Nothobranchius furzeri: one gene and its partner. The protein of the gene in region 1 purifies or fractionates together with the protein of each later gene. This does not show direct contact. Links are inferred from orthologs where the notes say so. Each region holds a gene or a part of one and is shown in the gene's direction. Other genes may lie near its edges.

Region 1 (8,720 bases):
TAGTCACCATGTGCCTCATGCAGTTCAACACATCTCCGTTGGAGTTGATCAGGTTGTTGAATGTGGCCTGTGAATTGTTGGTCCACCCCACTTCAATAGCTGTTCAAGGTTGCTAAATTTTGTCAAGAACTGGTTGTATACAAATGTGCTTGATGGGTGGCACATCCAGTCAAGCAAGAACTGGGATCTTTTCATCTTTCAGGAACTGTGCACAGAACCTTGCTAGACGGAGCCGTGCATTATCATGCTGCAAAATGAGTTGATGGCCGTGGTTGAACTGCGCAACATTGAGCTTCAGGATCTCATCACGGTATCGCTGTGTGTTCAATATCCCATCAATAAAATGCACCTGTACTTGTTTTCCATAACATATGCCTGCCCATAACCTCACCGCCACCATGGGCCACTCGATTCATCATCCTCGTCGTCATCGTCTTCCTCTGCTTATCCAGGTCCGGGTTGCGGGGGCAGCATCCCAACTAGGGAGCTCCAGACCGTCCTCTCCCCGGCCACCTCCACCAGCTCCTCCGGCAGGACCCCAAGGCGTTCCCGGACCAGATTGGAGATTTAACCTCTCCAACGTGTCCTGGGTCGACCCGGGGAACTCCTGCCGGCAGGACATGCCCGAAACACCTCCCCAGGGAGGCGTCCAGGAGGCATCCTGACCAGATGCCCAAACCACCTCAACTGACTCCTTTCGATCCGGAGGAGCAGCGGTTCTACTCCGAGTCCCTCCCGAATGTCCGAGCTCCTCACCCTATCTCTAAGGCTGAGCCCGGCCACCCTACGGAGGAAACTCATTTCGGCCGCTTGTATCCGCGATCTCGTTCTTTCGGTCATTACCCAAAGCTCATGACCATAGGTGAGGATTGGGACGTAGATGGACCGGTAAATCGAGAGCCTGGCTTTCTGGCTCAGCTCCCTCTTCACCACGACAGATCGGCTCAGCGTCCGCATCACTGCAGACGCCGAACCAATCCGCCTGTCGATCTCCCGATCCCTCCTACCCTCACTCGTGAACAAGACCCTGAGATACTTAAACTCCTCCACTTGAGGTAGGACCTCTCTCCCGACCCGGAGTTGGCAAGCCACCCTCACATCAGTCCTGAAGAATGTAATTTCTCTAAACTGAGATTGTTTCGGAAGACTTTTACATTGAGTAAGACGGATATATTTATAACAAAAAAACACTTTAAAGTTGCTAAAATACCCCTTAAAAATGTAAAGTCAATTCTAAATGTATTTTAATACTTTGACTTAAAAAGTGCTTATCTTTTTCTGCAAATATTAGATCTGATGCACACAAATAACAGATGGGGACCCCCATCCGTACTCCTTCATCAGCTCCTAACTTGTGCCTTTCTCTTAACAGATAGACCCACAGGAGAATACTGGGACACTGTTAATCTCCTGCTTGACAGGCACAACCGCAAACAAAAGCTAACGCGTACACTCACTACATCCTAATCTGTTTTGATGGAAAACAACAGCTTAAAGCATTTTTTCCCTTTTTTTCCAACAAAGAGCTTTAGATAACAACGTGTATTATTTGGAACACATTTACCCAGAAAGGTCATGCTGAAGGTTTTAAAAGAAGTGGCGCAGAATTGGATTACGGTTCCTATAACAAAACCTAGAATTCTTACACACACACGAGCTATCACTGAGACACATGACACATGGCAACCTTTTCTAGAGGGGAGAAAAAGCAAATTAAGACTTATAGATTTCCAAATCATACAATATGGTTGTGTTGCCATTTTCTGACAATATGTGTTTAATATTGGTGCAGATTTCCTCTACATGCACGGCCGTGTTTTAATCTGCTCCTGTGAGTATACTGTGCACGCATTTGAAATAAGTGCCCGTGCGCGCGCCAGTTGTGATGTCATTTGCATCAAAATTTTCATCGCTATTAGGGATTCCCCGATGCAAACTTTTACCAGTCGCTTCTTTTTTGCGTGAAACTTTCTTCATATGCGAAACCAACTGCACAACGAGACTGGATGTCTAAAGAGTGTGCTTTTTTTCTACAACGTGCATGCTTTTATGTGAGGATCTTTGCACAACAGCGCGCAGCGATACCTGATTATAACAGACAGTCCGAGTGCAGATGAAAGGCTGCGTTTATGATTCCTATCATTAAAAAAACACATGGAAAAGGAACCGTTGTGTCTGCAGCTGCTCGACTAAGATTTAAAAAAGGATAAAAGAAATACACTTACGATTTTAATGGATTATGAATGACAGTCGCCATCTTTCTGCAGAACTGTAATGCAATATTCCAAATCTGTGTGCAGTTTGGGACCCTTCTTAAAAAAAAGAAAAAAGGAAAAAACGACAGCCAATGCGGTCCTCTGCTCTTTCTAATACAACAGAAGCATCAACACATGAGGCGTGGCTTCAGTGAAATATGTCAACATACTCTGCACTGGAATCATTCCACTCAAATAATTAGATTTAGTTATAAAACAGCTGTCTAAAAGTTTATGAGTTGTACGCCATTACCAGATGTTCTTAATATTTCTACAATTTTTTATCTTTTTGTTTGAACATTTGAGCATTATTTGTCCTAATTTACATTACATACTACCAATGGGTATAAATCACGAAGTTCGTGATCAAAGTTATTAATTTCTGTGATTTGTTTGTTTTTAATGTTCAACATCATTAATCATTTCGTAGAGGACGCGTATGCTACATTTAATGTCCACCGGAATTAAATGTAGCCTTCAACGCACAATTATTGTTTCTTGGAACCACGTGACGGGCTCAGAGTTGTTTCTTGTGCTCAGCTGTTAAAAATAAATGCTCAGTTACTTTAATTGAAGATTATTTTCAAATCAATAAAAGCGCAACAATATAGTAAAACTATTATTTATACAATTTCAATATTATTTTCTCTTACTTTTCAGATTAATATGGATTTTCGTATTAAAGTAGAACATGGTGGATGACAAATCAAAATTATAATTACCGTATTGATAATTGTTTCGGCTTTTCAGTGATTTTTGTTTATTGTTGATTGAAAATTCAAATGTCCCACATGATCTTAAATGCAGCAACCAATGAACGTATCTTACGTCCGAAAATTGTTGTTGAAAAAATTTACCAATGATAAGTTCGAAAGGCGGGACTATGTAAAATGACGTGACGTTGCGTTTGTGAACAGTTGGTAAGTCAGCATTCGCTCTTTCATATTTGTCTGCTTAATTATTGAGCAACCTTAAATACTTTGATGACTTTTGATAAAGTAAAATATTAAACCTGAAGTACAAACAGTTTTGTCTCACTTTGCCCACGGAACGACTTGCCCATTGAACGCGTCAGTACAAGTAGCATTTTCCTTTTTCCGAGGTACATCGAATGCCGCATTACCGTAAACCAAGTAGCTCAAGAGAGTTTAAAAATTAAGTCATAATTAGTACTTTATTCTGAATTATGTTTGTTCATCGTCACTAGGATTAATTTGCTGTTTTAAACCTTTGTTGTATGCAACGTTTTTGAAGTCCAGCTACATTAGCAAACGTGTCGCTAGCTCTAATGCTAACGTTGCTAACTTAGCTAACAAGTAATCACGTCGTGAACAGAAAGCGTGATGTGACAACCTTCACTGTTGGAGCCAAGAAAAAAAAAGGATGAAGAAACGAAACTGGCCACAAAGTCGTCGCTACGGACGGTACATAAACGACCGTGAAAGATCTGCTGGCGACGAACAGTGTGTACAATATAAACATCCATAGTGTTCCTGAAAGTGTGCTATCAGGAATTATGTAGCTTTGTTGTGTTCTGTGTACAGGTATGGACTCAATGATGCTGGACCATCACACAGAGCGTCTACCTGTACGTCATCATCATCTTCATCTACCAGCAGTGTAGCACCTGGTATGTGTTAGATTACATTCCAGGGACACTCACCTGTGTTTAATCATAACAAAATCACAACCATTAAAACCTCACCACCCAATACACTAAAGCAGGCAGACAGTTGTATTTTTGTAAGTTTAAAGGGACGTTTCCTTTTCTAGGAAGGACATTTTCAGAAAATTGGGGTAATTGAAGCAGTTATACACTGTCTGTAGCCTAAAAAGAAGACGATCACTTCTTTATTGTTCTGCCAGAGCTGCCAGGTTTCTACTTTGACCCGGAGAAGAACCGCTACTTCCGTCTGCTGCCTGGACACAACAACTGCAACCCACTGACCATGGAGCAGCTGCGAGAGAAAGAACGAGAGAAAAAGAGACACAAGATGCTGGCAGAAGATGAGAACCCTAGAAAAGTAAATCCAGTTTCAGATCTGTCATATTTGTTTTACTTGCTAGAATTAAAAGAATATTTCATAATATTTTGGGATCCTGGATGGGTTTCAGGGAAGAGAGTTAATCAGGAATGTGTGTGTGTGTGTTTTTTTTTAACAGATATCACCAAAACCAGGACTGAACACTTCTCTGCTGCTGCAGAAAAGACATCTCGGGATTCTGCCTGAGAGGTCCTATTCCAGGTAGTGGATCATTTCTGTGCTTCTGTCCCCACAGCTGTAAACTACCCAGTGAAACTTAGGCCCTGTCCACACGTAGCCGGGGATCTGCCAAAACGTAGATATTTTTCTACATTTTGGCCTGTCATCCACACGAAAACGGATCTTTTTAAAAACTCCGGCCAAAGTGAAGATCTGCGTTTTCTCCGTTTTGGGTGTCTGCGTGTGGACGGACAAAACCGGAGTTTTAAGGTCCGCAACGTCACTTTCCGCGACAAAAAAATGCTGACATCACGTGTGCGACCTGTGTTTACACTAGCCGACAGCATGGAAGCCCTCAGAGCTGCGCTCGCTTTACCAATCGTCCAAGCGCTTTTTGCTTGTTTGCTTTTGCAAGCGGAATTACTGCTCCTTGCGGAAGACCACAGACGAAGGACGAGGTTAAGAACGGGGGAAGTACTGCCGCCTACAGGTCTGGCATGTCCTTAACAACGTATTTATTCGGGTACGTGTGGACAGAGTTTTCTTTTTAAACGAGGTGGTGTGGATGCAAGTTTTTGGAGGGGCGGATATTCGTTTTTAAAGAAACCCGGCTACGTGTGGACTAGGCCTAAGACTAGCTCCAGAGCTCATCGGTTCTGTGTGTGTAAAATGGGGTTTGCCATTAATGATGACTCAAAACAACTTTTGACTTCAGCTGTAAATAGATGAAAATGTCATCATGTTTATGCATTTTGCATTCATATCCTTAGGCGCTTGGGCTGCACAGTGGTTAGAGCTGTTGCCTTGCAGAAAGAAGGTCCTGGGTTCGCTTCCCGGCCTGCGATCTTTCTGCATGGAGTTAGCATGTTCTCCCTGTGCATGCGTGGGTTCTCTCCGGGTACTCCGGCTTCCTCCCACAGTCCAATAACATGACTGTTAGGTTGATTGGTCTGTCCAAATTGTCCTTAGGTGTGAGTGTGTGTGATTGTCCTGTGTGTCTCTGTGTTGCCCTGCGATGGACTGACTCTCTGTCCAGGGTGTACCCCGCCTGATTGCCTGTTGACCGCTGGAGCTAGGCACCTGCCCCCCCCGCGGCCCTACGTGGACAACGCGGGTTCGGACAATGGATGGATCCTTAGGCGCTTCTATTTTGGTGTTACTATGGTTACCATTTGCTTCCAGGCTCATCCACGAGGTGAAAGTCAGTGGGATGAGGCGACACAAACTGGAGATTCAGAGCACGGACAGCAGCAACGACTCTAACACTGATAACTTCAGGCTCATAGTGGTGAGAGCACACAACTTCACCCTGATGGCTCCTCTTTCTGCTCTTCTGCCCAATCAGAATTAGCTTTAAAATGTTCTGTTTAATTTTTTCAAATTTGCCTGATGTTCCTTTTGTTCTAAGGGAGACTCGGCGTGTGAGCGAGTGTTCACAGTGAACGACGTCTCTCATGGCGGCTGCAAGTACGGCATCATGAACTTCAGCAGCAGCAGCCAGGGCTCTTTGTCAGTGGAAATGTGCGATAACCTCTACTTCACCAACCGCAAGGTGGGAGAATATCATCAGTATTTGAATTTTAAAGCATCGTCTGTGTTTTTTATTATTATTATTTTTAAACCCGTCATGGAATAAAAAAGGGACTTAAAAAAAAAAATTTCCTTTTCACATGTAACTCAGGCAGAGCTGATCATTAACTGGAGAAGGAACACCAGTAATACTTCACAATAAGTCTCCCTTTAATAATGTCACTTAGTTCATTATTAAGCATGAATAAACTAAGTATTAACAGCTTCTTGATATTAATGTTAATTTTAAGTAATGAATTACTAAGCAGACACCCCACCCTGGCCCTTTGTCCTACCCTTAAGGACACGTAATAGTTAACAATATCAAGATTGTTAATAAAGGGATCTTTATTCTGTTAATGCTTAATAATGCACTAAGTAACTAGGGATGCAACGATACCACTTTTTTCCAAACCGATACTTGGATCTGAGTACTCGTCGATACTGATTACCGATGCAGATACTTCTACCACACAAAAAAAACGCAATGAATTGGGATACAGGTTTTATTTTCTTCTGTTTTCAATAGGAAAAGACTGTGAGGTAGATAAAAAGTAATATAAGTGATCACAAAACTAAAATATTTGGTGAACAGAAATGACAAGTTACAGTGAAGTCACTTTCAAGCTACTGCATTGGTATTATTTACTGGTATCTGTTAACTTTTACCGATACTGGTATCAGTATCTGTATCGGCACCGATACCAGCGTCATATCGGTGCATCCCTGTAAGTAACAACAGTAAAGGGACCATTATTGTAAAGAGTTACCGGAACACTTGCATCATCAGTTTCACTAAGCTGTCTCCGGTGCAGCCCGGGGCACTTCCTGGGGGAATATTGGAACTTTTCTGCCAGATTAGCCAATGTTTATAGCGGAAATGGGGGATTTTATTTCAGAAGGCGCCATCTAGAGGTGGAAAAATGTATTGCACCTTATGCTTCTCCCCTGACTTCCGTTATTATGGCTGGAAGTGATGCGTCTAGCACCTCTAGCAAGGGTGAGGAGTGAGCACCACGTCACCCCTGCCACGTGGACCTCAAGGGATAAACCCATCAGTCCTGCTCAATGGTTAGCTTTCCTCGCCGGGTCACCCAGTGGGAGGGATAAGTAACGTTGCCAACTTTGCATCAGTCTACGTACTTCTGCAAATGCTTGCGCACACTCTGTGATTGACATCCGTACGTGAGCAGATGTCGATAGCAAATCTATTGGCTAATGCCGAGCAGCGCTAAATTCAAATTGTATGGGCCTCTATGGGATGGGGGGGGGGGGGGGCTTAGCAAACAACAAATAGATGTATTGCCTACATTATAACACAGTCACAATCACTTTTAGATTTTTCTACAAAATCATTCATAATCCCTGAAAGGGGTAAAACTCCAGACGGCTGCGTTAACGGCGGTGTAAATTTTAATGAAACATTCTCATGAATTTATTTGAATTTTTGACATGGGAGTTGTCCTAAATTGACGACAACCCATTTCGTAATCTCACTCTCGACTAGCCGTTAGCTTGTCAATCCAGACTACCTCTCTTAAATGTATTCAGTATATCTTTATGTAATGGCTATCTTCTACATTTTATATTGGAATGCACAGATCTTTTTAATATTAGGTGATGAATTCCTATTTCCAGATGTCTACAGCATGATCTAACCTGTGGGGGAGGGGGGGAGGGGGTCTGAGACTTTGCCCTTTCATAATAGTTCTCTCTTATTTTAAGTAAAGTTTTTTAACGGAAAATTTTTGAAAAAATTCCTCTTTGCTTTGAACATATTCAACAGGAAGTGTCTGCTCTTTCTTATTCCAGTCATGTTGCTCGTATCCATTTAGCTCTGCGCCTATTAGAAATACAGGTGATCCCTCGTTTATCGCGGTAGATGCGTTCCAGACCTGGCCGCGATAGGTGAAAATCTGCGAAGTAGGGACACCATATTTACAGTACAGTACTATATTGAATTATCGTATTATCACATTCTCGTTTTGTGGGTAAAACCCAAGAAAAAAAAATTTTACTTGGTTTTTTTATAGTTTTATTACAAAAAGTGTATTTTATGATGAAATTGATGAAAAAAAACAGGAATTTCTTGATATTTCGCATAGAAAAATGCCGCGAATCGGCGAATTTCCCTTGAATAAGGCTCCAAAGAAAGAATCCGCGAAGTCGTGAATCCGCGATAAACGAACCGCAAAGTAGCGAGGGATCACTGTAAGTGGAAAAAATACATGTTTTACTTCCTGTCATCAAATCCCAGTGGAAAAAGGGTTCATAAGATTAGTTAAATGTGTGTTTTTTTTACTTGATACATAAAATAACAGCTCTATCTTTGATTAATAGGTTGTCCTAATATTAATTAATATTATTAAATATGTTTCAGGTGAACTCCATCTGTTGGGCATCCGTCAACTACCCCGACTCTCACGTTTTGTATCCTTGCAGCCGTTCTGCATTTGAAACTCAAATTTCTCATTTGGATTATTCTGCTCTGAGGCAGACTTCTCTGGTTTTTATAAATGTAACAGATTGGATCATCTTCTCTGTGTTTGTTGTGTTTTTTCCTTCACTGAAGCGGTCATCAGGTTGTGTCTGGTTGGCGCGGCCGACACCCCCGGCTGCGTTAGTTTACTGCCTGCTTCGCTCTTCAGCAACTCTAATCAGGGTCTGTTAAACCCCTTGTGCTCTTTTTGTG
Region 2 (4,203 bases), on another chromosome or scaffold:
GCACAATCTGCAACTCACTGAGCTTGCAGGCCCAAAGGCACAAATGCTTCAGGTCCTTCAGACGGCTGGCACAGAGCAAACCCGGCCCCACCTCCTTACCACCAAGACTCAGCTCCTCCAGTCCAATCCACCCTGCCCCTAGTCCAAGGGAGGCCATCTGTAACTGGTATCCTTGTCGTCCCGTAATTCCTATTTCAAGAAATTTCAGCCGTGAGAGCCCTTCTACCCCCGAGAGACCATCCTTGGCTGCACAATTTCGAAGCCCATTAGCTGTTATACGAAAAGTGTCACGCAACTCCAGTTGACTTAGCCTCTGCCACGATGTTAGACTCTGCAGATGCTGGTCTGTGAAAGAGGGCACATTGTTGAGGATTAACTTCTCAATACAAACTCCCAGAGGAGAGCCAAGCCCTGTTCCTTTCTGATCCCTTCCTTGATGAGGAGCACTAGAAGTGGCTTCTGCTTTGCCAGGGGGATGAGTGGCTGAATTAGAAGAGCTTTGGTTGAAAAAACCCCGAGGCAACTCACAACCACGCAGCTCCAGCACTCTCAAAGTTCGAGGGAAAACCAGGCAGTTAGGTAGACTTCTCAGGTCTGTATGCAGAAGGTAGAGCTTACTCAGACGGGGACATCTTGTGGACAAAGCTTTGAGCCAAGACTCAGAGAGAAAGGTGCCGCCTCGGGCTGACAGCAGCAAACCTCGCAAGCGAAGGCATCTTAGTCCACAACCAAGGTACTGACGCAGCAGGACCCAAAGGATGCGGGATGTCACCTGACACAGTGGATAGTGTGTGTGTGTGTGTGTGTGTGTGTGTGTGTGTGTGTGTGTGTGTGTGTGTGTGTGTGTGTGATGGGGAAAAGGAGAAAATAACTGTTAATAACTATGCAAACAAACACATTTTTCTTTAGGTTAAAATACACACGTATCACTGACTGGTTCATTATGGGTAAATAAGTTGATTTTATTCATGAGAAAGTTCCTCTTTTACTTTGGTGTTGCATCTAAAACCATCAAGTGACTTTACAAACGCAAAACTTTGTGTTTACCGTTTCTGTACATATTTATGAAAAAGCGTATAATTTAGTCATTCAGACAAAACATTAAAAATAACTTCCTTCTGACACAGGTGTTACTGGAACAGATATTTTATGTCTAAAACCTAATGCAACATTGTTTGTAACTCGCAGGTGTTACTTTATTGTGATTATTTTCATAAAGAATAAACATCAGATAAATAAAACGTTAAAGCCACACAGTGTGCTGACAATTCTTACCCCCTTCCATGAGGTCAAGTCGACAGTTTTCCACAGTCTTTGGTCTTTAACAAGGCGTTTCCATCTTTTGCACACCCTAAAAAAAAGAGGAAAACAATGGCAGCAACACAGAGCAAACTCACTTACACCACCGGATGAGTCATAACAAAGAAAAAGCCTGGCGCTGAGTTTTTGGCATACAAGCAAAATTTCAGCTGGAATACAGGTCTTACCTTCCAGCTCTGACAAGCTCTTTGACGCTCAGGTATGACAAAACATCTATCAAAATGTTCTCGGGAAAGTAGTCCAGATTACAGGCTTTAAATTCGTCCATTTCGTTAAAAAAAAAAAAAAAAAACTCGTAAAGCTTCCACACGGACTAATATCCTGACGCACACGGGTTGCGCCCAAATCAGTAATCCCCAGGAAACGGCTACTCGTTGACTGTATGATGCTGTATGACCTAGACGTTGGATTAAAGAACATACAATATTATAAATTCCTTCGGATAGTTGTGTCTCCGTCGATATTTTCTTTCTTTTGATAACACTTGACAAATTTCTGACAAAGGTCGAGCTCCACACCTTGTTTTGAAACAGCCTGAAATGCAGTTTGTTGCCACCTAACGTTCGTTAGCTGAACAGCCCTCCTGCGCCTGCGCGTTGAATAGATGTTGCACCGAATTGTGTGACCATGGTATATTGTGACTCCAGGAGGCGCTGTTGCCTCACACACCGGACAAGATGGCGACCAGCGATGGTGGAGGAATGGAAGTGGATGGGGCAGGCGAGTATTTATTTCTTATTTCACCATTTAAGTCTGACATCAGCATAGATGGATGTACGATTCCCTTACATGCTGTACAGTTTGGGTGTGAATGACCCCAAGTTAAGACTTAGTGTCATTAAAGGCTGCTGCTGACATAAGTGGGTTAACGTGCACTGCTCAGTCTGTAGTCATGACTCTGGATGTTACCGTCGCTCCTTTTCTGTTCTTTGACTGGAGTCTGGATGACTTGTGTGAATATAAATTTATATACACTAATTGTTTTTTGAAAATACTATTTTATGTATTCTGTTCAAATTACAGCACAGCATATTAGAGGAGCACACGAGGGACGTTGTGTACACCTGATTTCCATTGCTCTGTCACGTCATTTTGGCAAAAACAAACTACAGTTCAGTTGCTTCCCTTATTTTCGCCCACCTATGGCTTCACTACTAAGTTTATTTCAATTCGGCTTTGTTATTTCTGTGTGATGATGCAAACCTAACTCTAACCAGTTATATTTATCCTGGCTGCTGCCTAGCTTGGCCAGGTCTCCCTTGAAAAAGAGGTTGTTAATCTCAGTGGGATCTTCTTGGTTCAATAAATACATCAAACATTGGCCATATAAACAAAAACATCTGCTTGTTTATTGTTGTTTGTCTGGGTTGGTATCTGGGTATGATATTGCTGTGGTTAATGTGATTGACACTTTCTCAGCATCTAAAAAAAACTGATTCACCCATAGTGCTGCAGCAGTTAGCGCCATACCACAGAGACAACTCTTTAAAAGGAGAATTGAGAGCATTACATTTAATTAGTCCAATTTCTGATTTAGTGGAGACATCCTTCAGCTGATTATCTGATAAATGAGACATACGAGGGATTCTTTGGGATCTGCCTTATTGGAGTTAAAATATTATTTTTATACATAATAAAACTTCAAATATTTGCTGTTTGTTAAAATGCAACCTCCTTTTTCCCAAAACCAGTCATTTGTTTTACAGTTTTTGTTTGTTTTCGAGTAAAGAGCTTTATGTTACATGTTGCTGGTGTCCAGTTAAAGCTTATTTTACATCTGTGTCCACGTGTCTGTAGTGGGCCCTAGTGTCATGGCCTCGGGAGTCACCGGGAGCGTTTCTGTGGCCTTGCACCCTCTGGTCATCCTCAACATATCAGACCACTGGATACGCATCCGCTCCCAGGAAGGGCGACCGATGCAGGGTATGTGTCTCTTTCTCACCTGTTTGTTCTTAAAGAAAAAAAAACTGCTTCCAGGGAGAAACAAACCCTGCAGTTATCAAAGCTTTGACTTAGATTCTCTGTAATTAAAATGCAGTAACGTTTAATGCCATAATAATAAGTGTTGTTCATCATGTGTTCTCCTTTCAGTGATCGGGGCTCTGATCGGAAAACAGGAGGGTAGAAACATCGAGGTGATGAACTCCTTTGAACTTATGTCTCACACCATAGATGACAAAGTGCACATTGACAAGGAGTACTACTACACCAAGGAGGAACAGTGTAAGCATGTTTAAACATAACACGTTTGACAGGTGTAAAGTGTTCTTATGGGGTGATTTTAATAAGACAATAATGAAATGTGTTCAGTTTTAAACTTTGTAAATCAAGTTCCTCTTCTTTTTTTTTTTTTCAAAATGATTGTTAACTTTCATTTTGTCTTTCAGTTAAACAGGTCTTCAAAGAAATGGAGTTTTTGGGCTGGTACACCACAGGTGGCCCCCCCGACCAGTCAGACATCCACATTCACAAACAGGTAGAAACACTCTGACGTCCGTGTGATCTTAGCTGGAAGGAGATAAAAGACAAAGTTAAAAAATGACCATAAAAGCAAACATGACCTCGTTCAGCAGTGTGAAACTTTATTTTTTCCAAAAATTGTCTTAAAATCCTTCAAATTGTGGCTTGAGTTATGTTCAGTTCTATTCAGTTTATCTATATAGCAAAAAATCATGACATGAGTTGTCTCTCAAGCCCACACTGTAAACATTTCAATAATAATAATAATACATTTTATTTCAAGCGCCTTTCAAAGCTCTCAAGGTCACTGTACAAGACAAAATATAACAAGCAAGCAATACAAACAACAAGAAATAAATGCTAAGAGTAATTCCCAAGGGTAGAGTCGGAGCAGTGCAATGGATAATAGACTAAAAAGAGTAG

The links. Proteins that work in one complex are often made in the same cells at the same time.
Region 2: the proteins of wdr21 (region 1) and cops6 purify together in Homo sapiens (affinity purification with mass spectrometry; 4 studies listed by BioGRID and IntAct, counting the BioPlex papers as one, with this or other methods). This does not show direct contact. The link is inferred for Nothobranchius furzeri from reciprocal best matches to the Homo sapiens genes DCAF4 and COPS6.

Annotation. Positions count from the first base shown.
Region 1 is NC_091742.1:25,601,921-25,610,640, reverse strand, and holds the start of wdr21 (WD repeat domain 21), read left to right. Parts: upstream 1-3,471; 5' UTR 3,472-3,638; coding exon 3,639-3,718; intron 3,719-3,799; coding exon 3,800-3,885; intron 3,886-4,121; coding exon 4,122-4,279; intron 4,280-4,418; coding exon 4,419-4,501; intron 4,502-5,641; coding exon 5,642-5,747; intron 5,748-5,867; coding exon 5,868-6,011; intron 6,012-8,408; coding exon 8,409-8,458; intron 8,459-8,610; coding exon 8,611-8,690; intron 8,691-8,720. Other genes in the region: zinc finger protein DPF3, read right to left, coding at 2,226-2,257. UniProt on the Homo sapiens protein: May function as a substrate receptor for CUL4-DDB1 E3 ubiquitin-protein ligase complex.
Region 2 is NC_091741.1:79,987,571-79,991,773, reverse strand, and holds the start of cops6 (COP9 signalosome complex subunit 6), read left to right. Parts: upstream 1-1,403; 5' UTR 1,404-1,487; coding exon of another isoform or gene 1,488-1,588; exon of another isoform or gene 1,589-1,891; intron 1,892-1,967; 5' UTR 1,968-1,997; coding exon 1,998-2,040; intron 2,041-3,117; coding exon 3,118-3,243; intron 3,244-3,411; coding exon 3,412-3,543; intron 3,544-3,707; coding exon 3,708-3,796; intron 3,797-4,203. Other genes in the region: F-box/LRR-repeat protein 12, read right to left, coding at 1-772, 1,276-1,351, 1,488-1,588. UniProt on the Homo sapiens protein: Component of the COP9 signalosome complex (CSN), a complex involved in various cellular and developmental processes.